Linked DNA regions of Oreochromis niloticus. Each later gene encodes a partner of the first gene's protein in a complex. Links are inferred from orthologs where the notes say so. Each region holds a gene or a part of one and is shown on either strand. Other genes may lie near its edges. The genes, in order: vps54 and vps51.

The links.
Region 2: vps54 (region 1) and vps51 share a complex: the UniProt entries of both Homo sapiens proteins name them as parts of the golgi-associated retrograde protein (GARP) complex. The link is inferred for Oreochromis niloticus from reciprocal best matches to the Homo sapiens genes VPS54 and VPS51.

What each region holds. Positions count from the first base shown.
Region 1 is NC_031971.2:1,113,451-1,120,961, forward strand, and holds the start of vps54 (vacuolar protein sorting-associated protein 54), read right to left. Parts: upstream 3,064-7,511; 5' UTR 2,983-3,063; coding exon 2,953-2,982; exon of another isoform or gene 2,872-2,952; coding exon of another isoform or gene 2,865-2,871; intron 1-2,864. UniProt on the Homo sapiens protein: Acts as a component of the GARP complex that is involved in retrograde transport from early and late endosomes to the trans-Golgi network (TGN).
Region 2 is NC_031975.2:9,249,000-9,256,704, reverse strand, and holds the start of vps51 (vacuolar protein sorting-associated protein 51 homolog), read left to right. Parts: upstream 1-4,690; 5' UTR 4,691-4,965; coding exon 4,966-5,142; intron 5,143-5,519; coding exon 5,520-5,649; intron 5,650-5,762; coding exon 5,763-5,909; intron 5,910-6,005; coding exon 6,006-6,225; intron 6,226-6,703; coding exon 6,704-7,598; intron 7,599-7,705. Other genes in the region: frmd8 (FERM domain-containing protein 8), read left to right, coding at 1,089-1,317, 1,445-1,554. UniProt on the Homo sapiens protein: Acts as a component of the GARP complex that is involved in retrograde transport from early and late endosomes to the trans-Golgi network (TGN).

The DNA.
Region 1 (7,511 bases):
ACTTGCCTTTACAGCTTCATCTCTATTAGATTTAGTCTAGGTTAAGATATTTTGCTGTAGGTGCATGAGCTGTATCAAGTCAGGGACTTTCTGAAGTCTCTTCTCCCCGTCTCCCTCTCTCTGCAGGTTTGTGGTTTCAAAATGATGATTTCTTGAAATTGGCAGCTTTTAGTATCAAGTCTTCCCCTTCTGTTGTACGCCATTCGTGACAGCAACAATACATTAAAAAAAAATTATTGGTGGCTGAATCTAATTAACCTTTGAATTTGAGTGTTTTTAGACCCATTGCCACAGTCTGCCTTTACAAACTTTTGTGAAAGAATGAATCACTCTAACAAGCTCAGAAAATTCAAGTGTGGTACTGCAAGAGGAGGCATCCTAGTCTAAGTCTTCCCTCCTAGATATGATCAACTGTGGGGGTATTGTAGGGGATGTTATTGCAAAGTGGAAGCGTTTAGGAATCACAGCAGCTCAGCCTCAAAGTAGCAGACTGTATAAAGTTATACTGTGATTGCTAAGTGTTGAAGTGCATAATGTGTAAAAGTTGCCAATCTTCTGCTGGCTCAGTAAATGCTGAGTGGCATGGGTTTCAATGGCTGAGCAACTCTTGTATGTGTAATGTGTTGGTGTTCCTTTAGTTTTGCCATAAAGTCTTTTACACATTCATCTAACCAGCAAAAGATCCCAAGTTTGATCATGGGACAAGACACAAACCTCTTAATGGTTGCGTCAGGAAGAACATCCAGTACAAAAAAAATACCTGCTATAGCGACCCCTTGCTGCAGCTGTAGAGTATTGACTGGTGCAGCTTTCAACAGTGCTGCATTAAATCTAAAAAGAGTTCTATCAACCTCCAGTCAGTAAGCTTACATACATCTGCAACGTGTTGAAAGTGCGCTCAGGTGTGCTTAAATTCTTTAAAAGTTGATGCAGACATTTTCTGCAGCATCTGTAGCGCAAAATGCAAGCTGACAAAAAGCTGACCAAGGCGGCAACACCTGATCAAACACAAAATACATCTGAACTTTGACCACATTTCATATTTGATGCTCTGCTGATTCAACTGGAAAAAGTACCTAGCTCCACCTGCCTGAGCCAATAGACTTGTGCTGCTTTTTGGCCGTCTTACAATTGTTATACAAGGAGAAACTACCTATAGGGTCAAAAGGTTTTGTGTACCACCCTGTAAAATGCTTTAACTACTGTAGAAGCAGACATTTTAACATGAGTTACATTACTGTCTTTTGGACCAAAGCTCACATGGCCATGGAAGAACTGCATTTTTAGAATTTTATCTTGGCTCCATTTTACAGCCCTGGTGGTTAACAACTGAAAGAAAACTGCTGGTTAAATGGCAGCTGTAAACCAATGATATGTGGCTGTGCTAACAGTCAGTTGTAATCTGACTGCTCAAACTGTGGAGGTGTATGACCCTCTGCTGTTAATCCCATCACACAAATGAGAGGATTACAGATCTGCGCGCTCCCCATTATTATCAGAACTGTTTTTGGCTCCTTCATATTGGTTTTACATTTTAAAAAATGTTTTCAAAATATTAAGAACCATCTTAACACATAAAACTTCAGACTTGTCACAGATTCAAGCTCTCACAACCATCTTGGATCCTTGGTCCGTCAATTTTCTACCACCCACTGCAACTGCATGGAGCTAAAAATAGGAATGATTGTCCGATTCATCTTTTTGAAGACAGACTGCTTTGAAGGAATGGCAGTAATATGGTTTGCCAGAGATTAAAATAAGTATCATTTGAATTTATTTATGCAGGTACATCAGGTATATAAACTGGCTAGTTCTTCACTATATGACATATAAGACATGTCAAGCAGTAACACTGAATCCCAACCATAAAAGAAAAAAAAAAAACAAGCACGAGCAGCTTATAACACCTTCCTCATTTATTTTCATTTGCCCCTCGTAGACAACCGTTGTAAAATACTCAAAACCAATAAATCCTCAGCAAATTACAGTAAAACAGGAGCATAACTGCACAGAGATGTTCTTGCTAAGATCATAAAAGCTCAGTTATATTTCTATGTTGACATGTTAAGGCCTGAATCAGTAATTTTTCTTTTTTCAAGGAATACTTGTTAAACAAAAAACTGTGCGCCATCATATATTAGGATCTTATTAATTAATCGAGCTTTTAATCCTTATCTCAGTATCAGCAAAAGTGAAAGTACAATACCAAGGGCAGCCGCTGTACTGAACTCGATTCCACTTGTTTCCATCACATTATAGTCTACTCAGCGAGAACTGATTATTTTCAGGCATAAACGTTGCCTTGTAATGTAAATCAGCAACCCTAATATATTCCGGAAATGCCAAGTGCCAAGAAATAAACATGGCCGTAAATTTCCTCACCGAATAACACATCTCGTGATTATTTTTGAGCTGAGAAAAAACAGCTGTCACTTGTACTCATTTAATGTTTGATATTAAAATGTTTATGCTTTCGCCTGTCATCGTTGCTGTGCCTCCCATCGGGACAAGTAGATGTAACAGAAGCTATGCAGCTAGCCTTAGCCTAGCTACAGTGCACGCATTGCCAGCAGGTGTTTGCATTACAACCGTTCATGCTGACAGTGAAGTCAATGCCTAACAGCAACATGAAACACACAAAACTAATTGCAGTTTTGTTGTCAGTGGCTGATGTGGCGCAGAATATTCGCGGCCTTAGCTACATGCTAGAGCTAACGCTACAGCTAATGTTGTCAACGGCAGTTACACGTAGACTGGCCAATGCTAGCAAGTTAGCCGGATACAACTACCCCAAAAGGCGACATAAAAACACCAAAGAAAGCCAGGAATGACAGGGGACCAAGAGGCTTCATTTGGACACCTACCTGTCATGTAAAATAAAGCGGACGGTGTGTCTTTTCTTCATAATCACAGTAGCACTAAAGGAAACGAGGGGAAAACAATAGGACTCACAGCAGTTAATACCGGTATACGGACCATCATGCACTGCCGGAAAGAGGAACGAACATCAACGTCAGGTTCTTTATTTGCCTTATTGCAAGTTTCAGTCTTGAAAGCTCGCTGCTGCCCCCTGCTAACTAAAGCTGAATCGGTCCGTATCAATGTTATTGGTCCATATACAAGAGACAACAAAGTGCGCACTCACCGGCCACTTTTTTTTAGATACAGCTGTTAAACTGTTAAATATAAATATAAATATAGCAGATCTAATATAGCAGCAACTCAGCATTTTGTCATGTAGACATTGTCAAGACGAACTGCTGTTCAAATTGAGTATCAGAACGGGCAACGAAAGGTGATTTAAGTGATTTTGAAGCAGGGTTTAACGAAACTGCAAAACTAGGGTTGCCAACCGTCCCTTGAAAAACGGAATCGTCCCGTATTGAGCTGAAAAGGGACGCACTTTGTCCCGTAATACAGTGAGAATCAAAAGTAGTCTATAACTTTTAATGGAATTAACGCTTTGTTTGAAAACTTAATTCCCAGCCCCTCTCCTGCTTTGTGACCAATGAGCTGACAGCACACTTATGACAATTCAGATTACCTCTCATTGGTCGAGGAAAGGTCGCTTGCGGAGAAAATACCGGAAGGCAACAGATGACCACAACAAGAAGCATGGCCAACAGGGAAACAAACGCTGACACTGCGGTGCAAGTAGTGATGGATAGATGAGGCCTCGTGAAGCGTTTCAGCACATTCCCCAAACTGTATCGATACTGTGTCGACAGTGTTGCTGTTTTGCTCCATACTGACACCTGCTGGACCTTAAATATCATTGCAGGCAACTTACTTGAGACTCGGACACTGATTCAATGACCTAGTTATATTATACTTTTATACTTGTATACACTGTAAGTTATTGTACTTTCCATGGAATCATTTTATATGTTTTACATTGCAAATAGTGTAGACATCTTTAGTCATCTGAGTCAATTTAAATGTAATTGCCTCAGACTTTATTATAAATTTCCTTTCAGAAAAATAAGTTTATCCAATGTTTTTGCATTCAGTCTATTGCGGGGTTTTTTGACACCATTTCCCCAGCTTTGGAAAACTCAGAGGCACAGATGAAGCTGGGGTACACAAAAACTGTAAAGCCAGGTGGAAAAGGTTCTGATAACGTCTTCCTATTCCCCCAGTACGTTAAAGGATCCTCTGATCTTGGAATGTTTCTCTCCACAATACTAAGGGGTTGACAGTCCTTTATAATAAAATTCAGGACTGCCTGGCCCAGAACAGTCTTCCTAGATGCTTGATTTGAAAATAATAAAACACATATTGAAAAAAAAAAAAAAAAAGATGATAAAGCTGTTCAGTGTCAATATAGGCCTACCTGTGTTCATTCTCGGTGTGTTTGTCTCCTCATTTTCATGTTTGTCTCTGTAATGCCTAAACACTGGGGAGGTGCTTTTGTTTGTGTAAGAAAGCTCCACAGAACAGATGCAACATTTAACCTGCACAAAATGAAATAAATAATTTACACTGCAAGTCACATTGCTGGTTTTCCTATTCTGATAGATTACACTGAAACAAAGACAGACGAACTATTTGCAGTTAAAAGTTAAAAATGATCCCACACAGCAGAAACATTTCTTTTTCTTTCGGGCTCCATTTTGTTATGGAGAGATGTGTATTTTTATTTATCTTTGCGAGAGTAATTTTGTGGGGGTCTTTGGTGGCCTCATTCCGTTGGCAGATGCGGTACCTTTTAGACACAGTTTGGCGCGTTGGCAATGAGCGATACAGCAGCTGTATCGATCACGTGACTTTTTCTTAAAGCGACGCATGCACCGATACAGGCTTCGCTAGGTGAGCTTGATACATGCGTCAGTGCGTCAGTGTTGCTGGACCCATCACTAGGTGCAAGTCTCGGACGACAGTACACCTGGGCATACACTGTGCGATTTTTTTCAGTCACGTTATTCAGCTCCTACTCAAACTGCACAATCGACTCGCAGGGGTTATAAGTTCATAGGTCACGATGCAAGGTCTCACAATATACCGGTTGCTCTGATGCGACCTGAGTCCTCACACAGCAATTTAGCAAAGTTGATGGTGGTGGCGTGAGTCTGTGTGAGTGAAAGACAGAGAGGGAGAGCGAGCGACAGATTTTCTGTTATAACCTTCATTTTTATGGACGCACAGTGTGAGCACTCAGGTCGCATCAGAGCATCGGGCGTATAGTGTGAGACCCTGCATCGTGACCTGCGAACTTCTAACCCCTGCGAGTCAATCGTGCAGTTTGAGCTGAAGCTGACTGGAAAAATCGCACAGTGTATGCCCAGCTTAAGCCCAGCATTAGACCAGCAATGTTTGTTCCCCTCAGAGAAAGAAAAAAAAAGGCTGCAAAAGTACTGGGAGGAATGGGAAAAGGAAAACACCTGGCTGGAAAAATGCACGATAACACCTATAAAGCGCACTGCACTGTGTGCCTGCGCACTTTTTCCATAGGCATGCTTCTAATGGTGGGCACATGAAGAACATGAGGGGCGTGAAAGTTCGGGGAACCCTTAACCAATTTTTTGTCCACCAGGCCACGGCAGAAGCAGATATGGTATGTAAACACTGGTTTGTTTTTTTTAAACCCTCTGGTTAAGGTTAATATGGGCATGTGCAGTGAATATCAGCGCTATGTGGCCAGAAGTGTGATAATATAATTTATTTTGTGTAATAAACAACTGCAGGGATAGATGATTACAACAAACAGATGACTAATACATAAAAGTAATACATAGATGAATAATGATGATGAGTTATGATGCGTAATCATGGGAACAAGTGGGTTTACAAACGGCAGCAGCTGATTAGCATTAGAAAAGCTGAAATAATACCTCAACTGAAGCCAATTGCACTAAAAGCACTATATGTGCACTGTTACAAGAATGTTTTTCGTTCTATTGTTTTCTATTAATTTATATAATTTTAAGTTAAGCAGGACAGAGTTCTTTTAAAGAAAGATTTACTTATATTCTCAAAAGTTAAGCATGACAGGCTTCTGTTTAAGAAAGAGACCTGTTTTATTGTGTTAATGTTGTCATTTTGAGCTAAAAATAAATGGCTAAATGATCATTTGTTTCCCATGTGTTCATATCACAAAGAATATACATCTACTTAAATCAAATTCAAGTCAAATGGTTAAAAAAAATAATTTCACACACAAAAAAAAGAGCTACAAAATTCACCACACTGGGAACGGTGAAGACAACTGGGTCGCCCGGTGTTCCAGATCAACTGGCGTTTAGATCAACTGGCGTTGGTCGAACAGATGTGTGGCAGTCTTGTGTTTCAGGAGCTGCTACCGACAAACCAGCAAAAAAAAAACGCCAAATGTGTCATCTGTGACACTTGTGAGGTTATCTCAAACACACTCCGTCAGTCTTGATGCCGTTGAACAACAAAATGTTTAAAAATGTCGCGAGTTTACCTGGTGATATCCTCATGCGCGACGCGATCGCGAAAACAGCAAACAATTAACACCATGCCGGTATTCTTCACAGGACAGCAAGAGTAAACGATCAGGAGACTCTTGTCGTCGTTATCGTCCCCCTCGCACGTTTTATATCTCCGGGTTCAGCGTTTTTGCTTCACAACTAAAGCGTGCAGTTTACTTTGTGTGCACTAACATGGACTCGAGTCAACCAGCGCCACCTCTGGCCAAGTGCCACAGCCTACAGCCAGATCAACTTGTGACACACATCTGCACCACGTTTGAATTCGTTTCATGCACAACACATTTGTACCTTTCAATTGTGTCTGTTTGTGCGTCATGCAAATAAACCTTTGAAAAGAATGAAATGATATCATATATTTATTGTGGCCTACATTTGAAACGCAAGACTGCCACACATCTGTTCGACCAACGCCAGTTGATCTAAACGCCAGTTGATCTGGAACACTGGGCCTGGCCACGAGGTGTCCCTTATTTATTTTTCAGGGAGTTGGCAACCCTATGCAACTGCATCATTTCAATGAAATAACCTACAAGAGTACTGTTATTGAACTTTCCGTCTTCTTATGACCACAGTGTCCCCATCTTTTGATGGCTACTTTCAGCAGGATCTCGCCATGCCGCAAAGCTAAAATAATTTCAAAGTGGTTTACTGAAAACGATATATTTAAACGGTGTCACGGTAGAGCCTATCCCAGCTGTCGAGAGCCAGCTTACAGCCTGGACAGGTCACCAGTCTAACAGGGTTAACGAAGAGAGATAGACAACCTCACAATGTCACCTATGGCCAGTTTAACCTAACCCCACTAACTGCATGTCTTTGGACTGTGGGAGGAAGCCGGAGTACGCGGATAGAACCCACGCAAACACGGGGAGAACATGCATAGCATGATGGTGGAACTGAACTCAGAACCTTCCTGCTGTGATACAACAATGCTAACTAATTTATTTCTCGCTGGTAATGCCCTTATTCATTTTAGGATGCTGGATCTACCCAAGATTCAATTCAATTTTATTTATACAGCGCCAATCACAACAGCAGTCGCCTCAAGGCGCTTTATAT
Region 2 (7,705 bases), on another chromosome or scaffold:
TCGGAAGATGGAATTAAAATGCCTGTTGTTTCATATTATACCATCGTTTATTTTGTGCTGTCACACACACACTGTTTACTGCAAAACAAATCAAAGAACTTGTTCCTAAACAAGGGGCTACTTCTGTAGCATATACATAGTTGTGTTGTAAAAAGTCTGATATGAACCAGAAAACTATACTTTGCAAAATTATACCACAAACCAGTCCCCACCACAGATTCCGACACAACAAACCTGTTCTAGCACCTACGCAAGGATCACATGAAAGAGTATGGAGAGGGTTCACAAATGAGAAGCAAAAAAAGAACCGTTAGGTGCTCAAAATACAACAGAGTCAAGTGTTAGAACAGCCTTTACCCTCGGCGCGCCATATAATAGACTCACAAAGATGGAAGGAGATAATAGCAGCTATTGCAGCTTTTATCTATAAAGACACGGTCCTAACTTAGAATGTCGAGAAACAGGGATTTCTAAATTGGTCAAAACACTTGACATGTCCAGCCGAAAACACTTCACGCAAGTCCAGTTGCCTCATTTATATTATGAGTGTCGGGCCAAAACATTGGAGGAAATCTACAATGTAGCATGCTACACTGCAGCATCAAATGTATGCACAGTGCACTTCACCCGAGACCAGACGCACTGCAGTCAGTGTTTGCAGACGTGCTGTCTTCTTGACGACCATGCAGGGGAAATGTTAGCCAGAGCCCTCAAGGAGGCTCTCGAGTCATGGGGACTGTGTGAGGGTCATCTAGTATGTGCCACAAAGGATGATGCCACACAAGACCCATATTTATTTTGTTTAAAGTGTTTTTTAGCCTTATATCGTTTTTAGTGTGCATTTGCATTTCATATATGTTGTGAGTATTTTATGTTGGGTCTTTAGTTATTTGATATTGAAAAGTGTCTTAGTCAAACATATGTCAAGATGTTATACATAAAAGCTCAAAAATAATCACGTATGAATGAGTACTGTTCATTTATTATTAATTAATTAGTGTAAAAAAGAATTTGTACTTTACGTGTGGCGATTATATAAACTATTCATTGAATTTACACTGAATTTTTTTTTTGTCCCATCCAACAAGGCGGAGCTCATGAGCGGCTTCATCGAGTTCTGCGTGGAGCTTAAGTCTGCGTCCGAGGGGGCAGCTGCAGCCGAGATGGACGGCGAGGTGAGTTTGTCACAGCAGCCCGGCGGACAGGAAGAAAGGAGCAAGAATGGGCGTGGCGGAAGGCGCGGGATGCTGCACAGGCAAGGCAGCGTTGTGTGCAGCAGAGTCCAGTCGCTTAACACCATCAGCTACGTCGATGACGGTGAGGGCCAAACTTGTTTAACAGCAGGGTTATCCTTTCTGGAGGTAGCTCCTTCTGTGCCGTTTCACAGTATCAGAGATTTTTTTTCTTTTCAGCATTTGTTCATTTTTGTTTTTTGTTTTTTTAGGAAAAGAAATCAAACGCTTGAAGCCCAAGAGAGCCGCGTCTTTCTTCGCCCGACAGGCGTCTGCAGTGTCCTACTCTGCAGTGCAAACAGAGAGTCTGGAGCAGGGTTAAAGTCGCCCATCAGATCTGACCCGATCCTCTCAGAGACCAAATCTGAACATTTTACACTGAGATTTAAAACAAAAAAAAAAGGAGAGATGTACTTTGAGCTTGAGACATTTATCTGCTAATATATGAACATGTAAAGGACCAAATGACAGCAATCCAAGTGTGAGTGACAATATTTATCTTCTGAAGTTGTGTACATTAAGCGAGTACAGTAATGTGAAAAAAGATCTAGCAGCTATGCTTCCAAGGTTCAACTGAAGTGGGTGTTCCTTAAACAGCCTATTGTAAAGATCATATGATGAATAAGTGTGAGACAAGCCTTATAATAATCCTCAAACAGTGACTCCAGTCAATAACTGTTTTTGACCTTTCTGCAGCGCTCTGGAAGCGGATTTACTGCTATTATTCAAACATGTTGCACCTCAAATGAGTATAACCACTGCATTACCTCTACTCATCTTATCGGGGATTGAGCATTAAGAATATTTAAAGCTTTCGTGACTCCACCTCAGACTTTAAGCGATACCACAAACGGCAACAGTCAGCATGACAAACATTTTTCAGGGGACTATCTAAGGGTGCATTTCCGCTATTCTGCTTTTTTCAAACTGCCAGTGCCTTGATCTCTACAAAGGGTGAAGCCACTTCAGAAAAAGTAGAAACGTGTCGCGTCCGGCTATCCTGACCATAAACAATCCTTATGGGAGCACATTGGCTGTGTTGTGGAGGACTTTTGTAAGTACAGGAGTTTTTGACAAAGTCAATATTAAGCGATATCTGCAGCTAGTTTGAAAGAGGTGGCACGACGACCTGCTTTAAAAATGTGAGTTTTAAAACTTCTTGTTAAAGAAGCTGCAGTTCTGTGGTCACAGTATCAAGTGTTTAAATGGATTTGCACTAATAAAAGAATTGAATTAAAGCTATAAAACTGTAGAACCTGTGTAGGAAAAAATATATTCATCTAAAGATCATCCAGCACTGCCGCACCATGCTTGTATTCAAATGTTAAATTTCAAAGCATGGACGATTAGTACAAGCGATCTGTCGGCACAGTCTAACCTGACTGTTGGACCTGATGAGCAAGAAAACTGATGCAATACTGTTCTTGTGCAACTTCTGACATGACAGAAGATAAATTGAAAGTGTAGACATTAAAGAAACTAACAGTGTTGTTTTTCTGCAAACACGGTCACTGTTGACATCATTGGGGAAAAAGGCCTCGTTTTCAGCTTTACGACGATTCATTTACCAATGCAAAGAATTTCATTACTTGATTATTAGATTTATATAGCATTAAAACAATTTCTGCTTCACTTTATCTCCAAAAGCTAACCAATCTGTTGACCCGGTTGTCACTAGAGAGCGACTGTGTGTTCTGAACACAAAACAAGGACCAAGTTGTGGCCACACTGTTGAAAATCTTAAGTCTTTCCACCAAAGCAAGCCTGTCTGACATGCTGCAACCAAGTGTGTGCTACCTTAACGCTGCAGAGACAGATTTTAGCCTCCAGCACTTGGCAGAGTCCCCCGGGTGTCACTCTGAACCCCACACTAATGCTAAGGGAGGCAGTTTCTGTCTCCACATCTCTGTAATAGCGCCTTCCACTTGAACACGTGCCCTCGTTGGAGATGTGGCGGCACATGCGGTCTATTCTTCTCGATTTTCCTCAGCATGCAAACGGCAGAATGTCCTTACTTTTCTATGCTTCAACTTGTGTATCAGCTGCTGTCTGTATACTAACGCCAGCAGCTCAGTATGTTGTTGCCAACAAACACTATGCATGTCACGTTGTAGAATAGGCATTCCGACAGTCTACACATCATGTGATGCTGCACTTGTTAATACTAATACACTGTTTCTAAACATTTTACAGCAGGAGATTTGTTTTGTATTGTTTGTTAGCTTTTATGAGAGAACACTTTTACTTTCTTTTGGTTTGTTTTCATGTACTTGCCAGTGTTTGTATATGTTAATGAAGAAATAGGTCTCAAACACTTTACAGAAGCTTAAAGTGCCTTTTTTGTTTCTACTGGGTTGGCGTCTAAATTACTGTTTTGGTGCATTGAAACCAGAAAATGGACAGTTGTGGTATTGCTATGGTTTAAAATGATGTATTTCCTTTATGTTATGTGATGTGAGTATATTTGAGTAACTGGATGGCGGATGTTGAACAGTGTACTGTAATTCCTCTCGGTTGTCAGCTCGGCCTTCATTAAAATTATGAGATGATGGAAAGTGGCCCCGTTTTTCTGAACATACCTGTCATCAAATATTCCTTCCTCAGTCTGCTACCTGCTGCTTAAGTGTACTAAAGCCATATTTTAACCAATATGTTATTCTGCATATGATTTAATAACATAACGTCATGCAAACTTCTCATCAGTATTTCTGTGGCATTTTGTTTTACTTAAACACTTGCAGTTGTAGAATAATGTTAGAGTCGAGCCAACAATTTCTTAACTGAGGTGCCATCTTAGCTAGATCCATTTCAAATTGTTTGGGGAAATAAGTTCATTGTTAAATGTTTATGTTTTAATATATGGCAGGTATGATAAGAGTTGATATATATGTAGAAAGCTTGGTGAGTGCTCCTGTGGAAATGATTTAACATGCACCTAAAACCTCTGATTTTCTGCTTTCACAAATGATTTTCAAATACCTGAACTATATCCCAGATTATTATTCCTCTATGATTTTTATGTTCATGATAAAATATAGACTTTTGTCACATTTTAAATCTTATAATAAAAGTGTTTTTTTCCTCTGATCACTCAAGGGATGAGCATTTCTTTGTGTTTTTCTTGATTTCAACATTGTAGGATTTGCTATGATCACAGATTATCATACACATTTAATCCATTTTGGTGTCATTTAATTTTTCCCTACAACCCCCAAAAATGGAAGATTCCTTCAATCTAAGCATTTTAATATGGCGTTACGTGCCAATTAGGACATGCGCAGTTGTGCGCATAACTAGAACACTTACCTGAACAATTATGAGCTTTGTCTCTGTCTATACTTTGCCAAAAACATACATTCTTACATAAAATACATAAATTTTGAAGCCTATAGTGAATAAAAAGATCAACAAAGAGAAACTGCTCTAATTGGCTGTTTAGATTACGTGCACTGGTGGGCGACGTAACACCGGATAGGCTAGAAACCCGGAAACAACACCGCTTCCACCTAGCTGCTTCTGCCTCAGAGAAAATATGACATTTTCTGAATATTTATCCTGAATGATTTTGTTGTTTCCAGTTGGCAGCGAGGCTAAACACACAGCGGTCACACAGGAGCTTTGTGTTGCCGTTTCCCAGCTAGAGGCTGTCGTTTGTCTCCTGTCAGCTGGTCTGTCGTCGCCTTTGTTTATCGTTATTTTACTTTAAACGTTTCACAGCTGGCCGCCGTTCATTATGGACGAGGGCTCGGTGCCGGTGGCTGAGGACCCGGGAAGGAGGCGGAGAGTGCACGGCATGTTGAAGCTGTACTACGGGCTGAATGAGGAAGGAAAGGCCCCGGAGCAGCCGGAGTCCCTGGATCCCTGCGACATCAATGGGCCTCATTTTGACCCGGAGCTCTATCTCAACAAGGTGCGAAACTGCTATTGTCATTGTAATCCGTTCAGTGGCTCACAAAGCTGGACTGCTTCAGAATTTTAGCGTAAGCTTGATGCCAGATAATAGAACATGAAATGCTGAAATCGACAATACTATACACAGTGCAGATTGCAGTGATGTTACATGAACTGAAGAAAACACCAGAGTACTTCCTTCATTTGTCCCAGTTGTAATGTCACTACAAGTAAAGATATAGATGGCTGTGAATTTTAAAACACAAATCTGCTCCTGTCTTTGCCAAACAGTGAGAAATGAACCAGTGCTAATACTACATCACACTACATATAGAAGACACAAATGACCACTAAGCATATGTACAGTAACTTCTTTTTTTAAATATCCAAATCCAGCTCAGGAGGGAGTGCTCTCTCACGGAGCTGATGGACCAGGAGACCTGTATGGTCAGGCAGATCCGCTCTTTGGACAGCGACATGCAGACCCTGGTGTATGAAAACTACAACAAGTTTATATCAGCTACAGGTGAAGGGAACATCACAAACACACACACACGCTGCTGCTGTAACGTAAGCTGACATTAAATTGTGCAAACCTGGATAGCTGAAACAGCCTTCCTTTTTCTTTCCTTCTGCCAGACACTATAAGAAAGATGAAGAATGACTTCAAGAAGATGGAAGATGAAATGGATTGTCTGTCTGCTAACATGGCTGCGATCACAGAGTTCAGCGCTCGGATCAGCGGCACTCTTCAAGACCAGCATGCGCAGATAACCAAACTCTCTGGTGAGACCTAACCTGACTGTTTATTTGAATGAAACTTTTTAATTGTGTGATTTGTATTTTATTTATTTTTTGGGGTCTTACCATGTCTCACTCCAGGTGTTCACACTCTGTTGAGGAAGCTGCAGTTTCTGTTTGAACTCCCTGCAAGGTTGAATAAATGTTTGGAGCTGCAGGCCTACGCTCAGGCAGTGAACACCCACCGCCGTGCTCGCTGCGTACTGCAGCAGTACAGCCACCTGCCCTCCTTCAAGGGAATTCAGGATGACTGTCACGCCATCATGGACAAGCTGGCACAGGAGCTTCGACAGAAGTTCAGGTGACAATGACTAGTTATTACAATATATAACAAAAATAATTTTAATTGGCATAAACAGCATGTTTGACACAACTGCATAGATATTAAAATAAAAAATTAAAAAAACAGCAATTGAGTTGACTCATAGACAATAAACAAATGGACATCAACCTCATCAGAGAGGTTTTATTGACAAATTTTATACATATATACTATTTTTGCTTTGTTTTGTTTTGTTTTATTTTGGGTAGTTTTGTTTTATACTGTTTCAGTAAGTTTTTTTTCCAAAGTCTAGTTTAAATAGTGTAGTTTTATTTAAGTTGACTAGGATGTGCTTTCACACCTAGTTTTAGTTTTTAGTGTAGTTTTAGATGCCAACTCAAAAACTTTTCCTTTTATAAGAGGCTGATGCGTGAGCCAAAACTGACCAAACTTCAGGAAAAAAAAATCACACGTTTCATTAAATTTCTGCTTCTGTCTTTTCTTCTTGTGATCATAGGGATGGTGGGTCAAGTGCCAAAGATTTATCAGAGTGTGTGGAGCTTCTGTTGCAGTTGGATGAGCCAGCAGAAGAGCTCTGTGATAAATTCCTGAGCCACGCGCGGTCTCGCCTTGAGTCAGATCTTCAGGGCCTGGAAGCAGAGATAAGGCCGTACCCGTCCACCTCAGCCACAAAAGATGCTTCCGTGCATGGGTTGTCGTCTACAACAGCCCCCGGATCGCCGGCCGATGGCTCTCCCAAAAACAGCTCTCTGCCTTCCCCCGCATCAAACACTGACATTCTGGAATTCATCGACAGAGGCTGCAATGAGTTTGTGAGCAGTTTATGTTTGGTAATCACGTCCTATCAAGAACTGTTTATCAACCATGCTCAAAAGGGTGAGCTGGCATCCAAAAATATTCCTCAGATGGCAAATGGCAAGCTGCATGTCTTTGTGGATGATCTGGCTGCTCGATATTTCATGCTTGTCGAGCGGAGGATACAAGAGGAGAAAGGGGTCGGGGATAACTCCCTACTTGTACGTGCGCTGGACCGCTTCCACCGCAGACTCCAGGCTGTGGCCAAACTTCTGCCTGGCTCAGCTGTGCCAAACAAGGGGACGGAGATTGTGATACGGGCGGCAACGGAGCGAGTCAAGCAGTACCTTTCCGCTCTGCAGAGCTTCTACATGGACAGCTTGACAGACGTGAGGCAGGCTCTGGCAACTCCTCGTCTCTCTGTGGCTGGCACTTCTGTGGCTGGGCCAGCCTCTGGCAGAGACGCTCCAACCAGCCTACCAGAGCTGCTCTCCTCCCTGTCAGCCTCAATTCTCAATCAGATTAAGTCGGTGCTGGCGTCAGTGCATCTCTTTACAGCTAAGGACATCACATTCTCCAACAAGCCGTACTTCAAGGTGAACATTTTCTGGGGTTTTTTGCTCCCAAACTACCTTTTATAGTTTTCATATGAGTTTGAACTAATGTGTGACATCATGTGTTACTGTAACCCTGCGTGTTGTCT